Linked DNA regions of Rattus norvegicus. The protein of the gene in region 1 purifies or fractionates together with the protein of each later gene. This does not show direct contact. Links are inferred from orthologs where the notes say so. Each region holds a gene or a part of one and is shown on either strand. Other genes may lie near its edges.

Region 1 (4,599 bases):
TGCCTTTTGGGCTGTCTCTTCGGTCTTAGTGCTGGAATTTCCCCTCTGCCCCGTCATACCCAGCTTTAGCGTATTTGTGCCAGGTATAGGGGCGATTTCCTCCACTTTATTGCTGTGACTGGCATCATAGTGGTGCCATGCACTTCGAATACTAAGGACAAATGCTGGTTTCTTTGCGCTGCTGCAGAGGAATGGCGATGAAAGCACACATTTGCCATTCCATCAGCAGGGAGGTGGGTGTAGGAGGCACAGGAGCTAATGTCAATTAATCTAGACTCCTTTCTTTCGGGTTTTAGAGACTTGTTCAAGATAGGGTTTCTTTGTGTAGCTTTGTAGTCCAAGCTGTCACCAAACTCACAGATCGGCCTGCCTCTGCCTCTGCTTCCCCAGTGTTAGAATTAAAGGCATGTGCCGCCAACCACCTGGCTGGAGCATTCTATTTTTTTTTTTTTCTTTTTTTCGGAACTGGGGACCGAACCCAGGGCCTTGCACTTGCTAGGCAAGCGCTCTACCGTTGAACTAAATCCCCAACCCTTGGAGCATTCTATTTTAATACCAGTATTTGCGAGGCAGGCAGGTCTCTGTAAGTTTGAGCCCAGCTAGGGTGTTATGGTGGATTAATGTACAAGCCAAAAAACTTGTCTGAGCTAGAAAGATAACTGTAGCTGGGCTTGTTGACAGATTTCGCTCCTAGGAGGAGGAAGCAAGGTCATGGGACCCTGACCTTAGTGCCCAGCCTTACTGGCAAGCAACTAGATGCAATTCTGCCCTAATTGCCTGTAGTCTGGGGAGGGGCTAGAGGATACTGGTGAGGAAGAAGTGTAGCTCTGTCTGTGCAGTATGAAAAAGGGCTTCATTTCTGCTAGGTAATGACGGCCCAGTGTAGTTTTTTGTGGGCAGCAACACGACCACCACCACCTATGCTCTGTAAGCCCCAATATATTCGGGTTTCCCAGAATGATCTGTGGTGGAATCATTTCGGGTTATCCTTCAGACTTTTGGAGAAGGGTAGACATTTTTTAGGTCCTCCCTGGAATGTAACTCATTTATCTATCTATTCATTTATCTATTTATTTATCTACCTATTTATTTTTGCGGCAATATATTCGGGTTTCCCAGAATGATCTGTGGTGGAATCATTTCGGGTTATCCTTCAGACTTTTGGAGAAGGGTAGACATTTTTTAGGTCCTCCCTGGAATGTAACTCATTTATCTATCTATTCATTTATCTATTTATTTATCTACCTATTTATTTTTGCGGTGAGGTCAGAATCTCACTATGTAGACCAGACTGGACTCGAACACAACAGAAATCTGCCTGTCTCTGCCTCCCGAGTACTACTATTAATATTAAACTCAAGTGCCACCATGTCCAGGAAGGAATTTTAACACGGCTATATCTTGAGACCCTGTCTCACTAAAACAAACAAACATACAAGGGAGAAAAAACCAAAACCGAGTAACTCTAGCGTAGGGATTAAGCGCCTATGGATCCGAGTTACCCCTATCCGCACAACCTCACAGCGCCGCAAGCGAGTCGGGACTGCGCATGCGCTGTGGGAGGAGCCAAATTTTCGGAGTCTTTCCCACAGCGTGGATGAGCTTTAGAATGAATTCAGAAGATACTCTTAACTATGCAATGCTCATACGCATTGCAACCATTGTGGTAGCCTAGGAAACGTCGAACCCGCCCATAGGCAAAGGGCGGGATTTCCGGTGTGACTCTATTGGGAAATCAGGACTTCCGGTGGCGGGTCGGTTGCTGGCTGCGGAGCGAGCTCCACAGTGAGTCCGTTCCCCTTCACAGCATCCAAGGATGTCAGAGCTTGGATCCAGGGGCCGCCTGTGGCTCCAGAGCCCCACCGGTGGGCCACCCCCTATATTCCTGCCGTCGGATGGCCAAGCCCTGGTTCTCGGTCGGGGACCCCTTACCCAAGTGATGGACCGGAAGTGCTCCCGAAACCAAGGTGGGCACGGGAGTGGAACTGAGGCAGTGAGTGGGATTGGAAGCTGGGGAACTTATGCCTAACCAGGAGCAATACGAGGCATAACGGGAGGGACAAAGCAGATCTGGGATTGTCACCGGGAGGGAAGAGGATACAAGAGAGAGAAGGTCGCTGAGCAGGATACATCAGGCCGTGATGCATCGGGCCATGTCCAAGACCTCGGTCTACCCAATGTATCTCATGGAACAAGCCAACCCTACAGATTAAAAAAAGAAAAATCTGTTCTGGGCAAGTCCGAGTCTCTGGCAATCCTAGGGACTCCGAAGAACATGGTCTTATTGAATAAACTGCCTCGGGCCGGGGGTGACACACACCTGTCATCCAGACAGTTGGGTGGTAGAGGCTTGAGAATCAGTTCAAGCCCAGCCGCTAGTATGTAGCGAGTTTAAGGCTATCCTGGGCAACCTGTGTTGGGGGATAGAGGAAGGAAAGTGCCTCTTTCCAAATAGTAGACTGTAGTTGGCCAAGCCCCCGTACGTGTTGTAAACCTTGACTCCACCCCCTTACCCTCAGTGGAGCTGATTGCAGACCCTGAAACCCGGACAGTGGCAGTGAAACAGGTACCAGCGTCTCAGCAGCGGGTAGCGAGGACTTGGGAGAGGGGCCGGGTAGATCACAACTTTCCCCTTTTCCACCGTGCCAGACTAGAGCCAAAGTTCTGACTGGCCACACGAAGTGACTAGGTGGGAAGATTAAAGATCTGATTGGGAGATAAGGTGTTGGACTTGGGGAGGCAGGTGTTCCATGAGGGGGTGGTGCCAACCCTAGCTCCTCCTCTGTCCGCAGCTGGGTGTTAACCCATCAACTGTTGGGGTCCAGGAGTTGAAGCCAGGGGTGTCTGGCTCTCTAAGCGTGGGGGATGTCCTTTATCTGGTTAATGGCCTATATCCCCTGACCCTGCGCTGGGAAGAGATCAGCACACCAGGATCCCCGCCAGACACTCCACCAGGCAATCCTGTGGATCCAGAGGAGGGAAAGGATACTGAGCCTCAGAAAAAGCGAATGCGGAAATCCTCCCCTGGCTGGGAGAGCTTTAAGCAGTTACTGGTGTTCACAGCGTCTGGAGTGAAGCCCCGGGGCAAGGTGAGGCCACCACCACAGTCTAGCCATTTAATTCAAAGTTTCCTGTGCAACTAACTCTGTGCTAGTCTATCAAAGTCTCTGAGCCTCAACTGTTTTGTGCAGATGGCTAGGATGCTAGTGGTGGCTGCCACCACTGAGGTACAGGGTACAGATCAGGCCCTGTAATCAGTGATGACCTTTCTTGGATGTTTTTAATGGGTCGCTCTGAAATTAGGACACAGAAAATGTGTGGTCTAGTTCCCTGTGGGCACTCGACCAACAGTGAAGTTCTCTTTTTTAAAAATTATATGAGGGGTTGGGGAATTTAGCTCAGTGGTAGAGCGCTTGCCTAGCAAACGCAAGGCCCTGGGTTCGGTCCCCGGCTCCGAAAAAAAGAAAAAGAAAAAAAAATTATATGAGCCTGCATGATTTTGGGTGTACTGTATGTATGCAGGTGGCTGCAGAGGCCAGGGAGTGTTGTGTGCCCTGGAGCTGTAGTTACAGGCAGTTATGAGCCATCTGACATGTGCTCTTAACCACTGAGTCATCTCTCCAACTCTTCCAACAAAGCCCTTTGCTCTTTCTGGGCTGTTAATCCTCCAAGGAGATGCTCTAAGAGAAAGGGTTGGGGAGACACTGGTCCCTACTAAAAACTGGAAGTGGAGGACAGAGGACACGGAAGGGTGATACTGATATTAAAAGGCTGTGTCGGGGCTGGGGATTTAGCTCAGTGGTAAAGCGCTTACCTAGAAAGCAAGGCCCTGGGTTCGGTCCCCAGCTCCGGAAAAAAAAAAAAAAGAAAAAAAAAAAAAAAGGAAAAGATAAAAGGCTGTGTCACTAGGTGGTGGTGGTGCACACCTTTAATCCCAGCACCTGGGAGTCAGAGGCAGGCAGATCTCTGAGTTCAAAGCCAGTCTGGTCTGTAGAGTGAGTTCTAAGACAGCCAAGGCTACACAGAGAAACACTGTTGAAGAAGAAAAGGATGGTGTCAACAAGCCTGTAGCAAAGGTCAGCGATGACAGTATTGCTGTCCCTGTTGTTGGTGATACCAGGTGGCTGCCTTTGACCTAGATGGGACCCTCATCACCACCCGCTCTGGAAAGGTCTTCCCCACTAGCCCTAGTGACTGGAGGTGAGGTGGGACATGGGAAGAGGCTGGGATGAGAGCCCAGAGTCCTTTAGATTACAAGTCACCTGCTACTTCCCATCAACCTTAGGATTCTGTACCCAGAGATTCCAAAGAAGCTCCAGGAGCTGGCTGCTGAGGGCTACAAGGTATGCGGTTGTGTGCATGGATAGGTGTTGGAAGCCAACAGCCACAAGAGGTGGGAACCTGGGGGTTGGGGATTTAGCTCAGTGGTAGAGCGCTTGTCTAGCAAGCGCAAGGACCTGAGTTCGGTCCCCAGCTCCGAAAAAAAGAAAAAAAAAGAAAAGAGGTGGGAACCTGTGTTCATGTGTACATGGACACATGCATGTATGTGTGTAGGGTTCAGACTGAGCTGTGTTGGTAGCGCTCGAGTCTGTCCCTGTC
Region 2 (3,814 bases), on another chromosome or scaffold:
AATATTTGTTCCGTAAGTAATTTTCAATAGGTGAGTTGGATTATTAAAATGTATTAAATATTTTAAAATAGGTATACTTTCTGTTTAGTGAAATTAGCATATTGTATGTTTTCATTTTTTATTGGCACATTACTTGTATAGAAGTCTTTATCATGGCATTTTCATACAAGTCTACAATGAACTTTGATCATATCTACCTTCATTCTATTTTTCCTGCTTTCTGATGTTTCTCTTCTTTCTCCTCCGCACACATTTTTCAAATCTAGATTTCACATATAACAGAAAACATGCAGTTTTTTTCCAAAGTTTAGCTTATTTCTCTTAATTGTTTGCTCTCCTGTTTTATTCCTTTTATTGTATTGTATACCTTTACCATACTTTTTTAATCTACTCATTCACTGATAGGCAGTCAGGCAGATTCTTCTGTCTATTGTGAATAGTAACTACTGGATATGAACCTGTCCCTATTTTATACTGACTGATGCATTTGGGTATTTACCCTAAGAGTGCTTTAGAATGATCTATTCTGTTTGCAGTTTTGGGGGGAAGTGGAGATGCACTGCTTTACACCCCTATGAGTGATGTTTAAAAGTTTCTTTTTATACAGTTTATAAGTTTAAGTTTATACAGGGTCATCTTTTCCGCAACTACCTCTGACTAAGTTTCCATGATGCTCTCCAATCCATAGCCCTCTTTTCTTATGGCCTGTATGGTTGTTGTTGTTGCTGTTGTTGTTATTGTCAGTAACCTCCTGTCTCCAGTTGATCCTCAGCATATACATGCTAAGTAAAGGTTTACTGCATCTTTACCAACTTGTGTCGTTTTTCTTTTCTTAAATAGAGCCATTCTGACTGTGGGATGGAGTTTAATTGTCGCTTTGGTTTTAATTATCCCGTTGAGTTAGGAGGATATTGATCATTTTCTCTCAATTTATTTGAGTACTATTCAGTTCATTTGTACATTGATTAGGTTATTATGTCAAAGTTGGTTTTTCTTAGCCTTTATATTTTAAGGATACTAATTCCCCTGAGATAAATTGCTTGCAAATGCTTTCTCTCATTATCCCAATTTTTCTGTACAGTTTTTTAGTGCAGAAGCTCTGTAATTATGTGTACTCCTTTTGTAGTTCTCCCAGTTAGGTCTTGAACTATTGCAGCCCTACTCAGAAATTTCCTGTTAAGCCTATATTTTGAAGTATTTTCCTCATGAATTCATCTCTGTCTTTCCAATTTTTTGTCCTGGTATTTCCTGAGGACGGGTATGTTGGACATGTATCAACTGGGGCTGTGGACCCTACAGTCACTCATTCTTTGCAGTATTACTGATTGTGGATCTTCGTAGTACGCCTCTGCCTACTACAAACAAGGTTTCTTTGATGAGAGCTGAGAACTATATTTATCTTTGGAGATAAGGCACTTAATACAGAGTTAGAAGCTATATTGATTTAGGGAAATGGCATTAGTTCCGAGAAAAAGCCTCCATGTCAGGACTGGTTCAGTTCTTCCAGTCCTACATTAGAAGTTATGCAATAGCATCTCACTTGGAAATTGTAGGACTGCAACTAAGGACATTGGGATATCTCATACTTTGGGAGGATCTCTAGAACTCTTGACCAAGAGCATGATGGTTTCCCTTTTGTGACACTGGAGTTTTTGTTAGGTAAGCTGTTATTCCTGCATAGAGGAACTATTACCCACGTGGCATAAATCTGTAACACACACACACACACACACACACACACACACAGTTCCTAATTCTGAGTACATAGTCTGGTATAACTGCAGAAGCTGGAAAGCAGAGGGGATTAGAGACGAAGACAGTGAGCTCAAGAGATGGAGTGGACACAGGGGCTTCCAATGGGCAAAGGGGGGAAGTTTGGGTGCTTACCTAGGGAAGAGGGGAATGTGTTACAAGAGAGGGAGGAAAAAGATAAACAGCACTAAATGTATCTGCAAAAAACTACTGGGAAACATTTTATTTTATTTCTTCAAAGTTCTGTTATATTGGTTAAGTAGTTGTAACAGTTAAATCCATATTTTCTAATAGAACCTTTTGATTTCATCTCCTTAATTAATCTTTCCCATAGTTTCTGAATCGGAGATTGCACAGGAAGCTGATGACATGGCTATGGAGCAGGAAAAATACATGGATGAGCTGAGACGGGCACTGGTGCCAGAGTCGGGAGCAGCTGGTGCATACAAGTTCATCTTTTCCAAGGACACTCAGCATTTCTCCCTGGAGAAAGAACTGAAAGATGTTTCTGTGAGTAGCCCTTCCACGTTTGTTTTCATTGATACATTTTGTTTCACATTTCAGTAGCAGGTCCTGGAACAACTCAGAAATAAATACCAAGAAATTGCTTGGGATCCTTGTTAGTATGCTTCAATTTTTATAAAGGAAATCATATGTATAAGAAGTGTTTCTGTGAGGGTGTTGTCTGTGTGTGTGTCTGTGTCTGTGTACATGTGTGGGCATGCATGTCGTGTGGCCATGGCTGTGTGTGCCATGTCCCATGTGTGATGGTCATAGCCTCAGACTGTCCGCCTTGTTAGCAAGCACTTTTACCTACTACGCCCTCTCACCATTCACAATGTTTCAGAGTTAAAGTTGATGACATATTTCTTTCAACACTGCAAAGTAAACACTAGGAAATGTATTTACTCATCACTATTTAAAACACTTTAAGTACTGTATAGTTAATTACACGAATGAACAAGAGTATTAGACCATTGCAGCCTGGCTTTCTCAAATTAAGTTTGGGAAAATACAGAGTTTTAGAAAGAAAATATTAAGTTTATCTTTGCCTATTTAATAATTGATTTATTTTCTTTCTTCTAGTATATTTGAAATTTTATCTTATTTTAAAAAATTTTAATAATTTTTTAACTTGTGTTGGTGCCTTGCCTGCATATGTGTCAGTTCCCCTGGAACTGGGATTGTAGGCTATTGGGAGCTGCCTGCCACGTGGGTACTTGTAATTGAACCTGGGTCCTTTGGAAGAGCAGCTGGTACTTTTAGCCCTTAAGTCTTCTCTCCAGCCTTTTATATATGACATTCTAAAACAACATAGTTCAGTGTGGTAATACATATAATTAAGGAATCATGATTTACATTGTCCTACTTAAAAACAGTAGAGCAGAACTAGCTTTGTGTCTGAGCTTTTAAAGATTGTGTGCTTTCTAGACCCACATAATCTGCTACATGGCTCAGTTTCTGCACCAATTCTGACTAAGGAGCAGCTAGCTTAAAAGTTTGTGTTCACTCTCTTTACAGCCTCCCTAAATTAAATTAACATTAAATTCACTTTTGCCTTTTGTTTATTAATCATATGAGATCCACACCATAAGAAAGGGAACTTTATCAGGTTCATTGATAGTAATTAAGGAATTGGTTCTTGTTTGTCTGTTTTGTTTGCTTGTTTTGTTTTTAGTTAAATCTAATTTTTAAATGATTTTAAAACAATCTTTTAAACTCAATAGTACAGGAGATTTATCAATCTGAGAAGTATTTCAAGAAATAACTAAAATTATTATTTTCAAATATATTGTGGGAAAATAATATAGAATGACTGACTCTTGTAATTTCATTTACAAAATATATATTTCTATTCACTGTCAATACATGTTTTTTATTCTGTTGAGATTATTCCCATAATAGCTTAAAATAGGTTGGTTTGAAGTGACACATTCAGTTTAGTATCACTTATGTTCTTTTCTGTGGTCCAAGCTCAGTCAGATGACATTAAATGCCCTTATAAGTGCGCCTGCTTCTTCTCATATTGCAAAGTAGAACTGGTCAAATTAAGAACAATGAT

What was found.
Region 2: the proteins of Pnkp (region 1) and Xrcc4 purify together in Homo sapiens (co-immunoprecipitation; 5 studies listed by BioGRID and IntAct, counting the BioPlex papers as one, with this or other methods). This does not show direct contact. The link is inferred for Rattus norvegicus from reciprocal best matches to the Homo sapiens genes PNKP and XRCC4.

Annotation. Positions count from the first base shown.
Region 1 is NC_086019.1:104,476,362-104,480,960, forward strand, and holds the start of Pnkp (bifunctional polynucleotide phosphatase/kinase), read left to right. Parts: upstream 1-1,751; 5' UTR 1,752-1,816; coding exon 1,817-1,967; intron 1,968-2,519; coding exon 2,520-2,566; intron 2,567-2,792; coding exon 2,793-3,089; intron 3,090-4,120; coding exon 4,121-4,200; intron 4,201-4,285; coding exon 4,286-4,343; intron 4,344-4,599. UniProt on the Homo sapiens protein: Plays a key role in the repair of DNA damage, functioning as part of both the non-homologous end-joining (NHEJ) and base excision repair (BER) pathways.
Region 2 is NC_086020.1:22,905,242-22,909,055, reverse strand, and holds part of Xrcc4 (DNA repair protein XRCC4), read left to right. Parts: intron 1-2,086; coding exon 2,087-2,262; intron 2,263-3,814.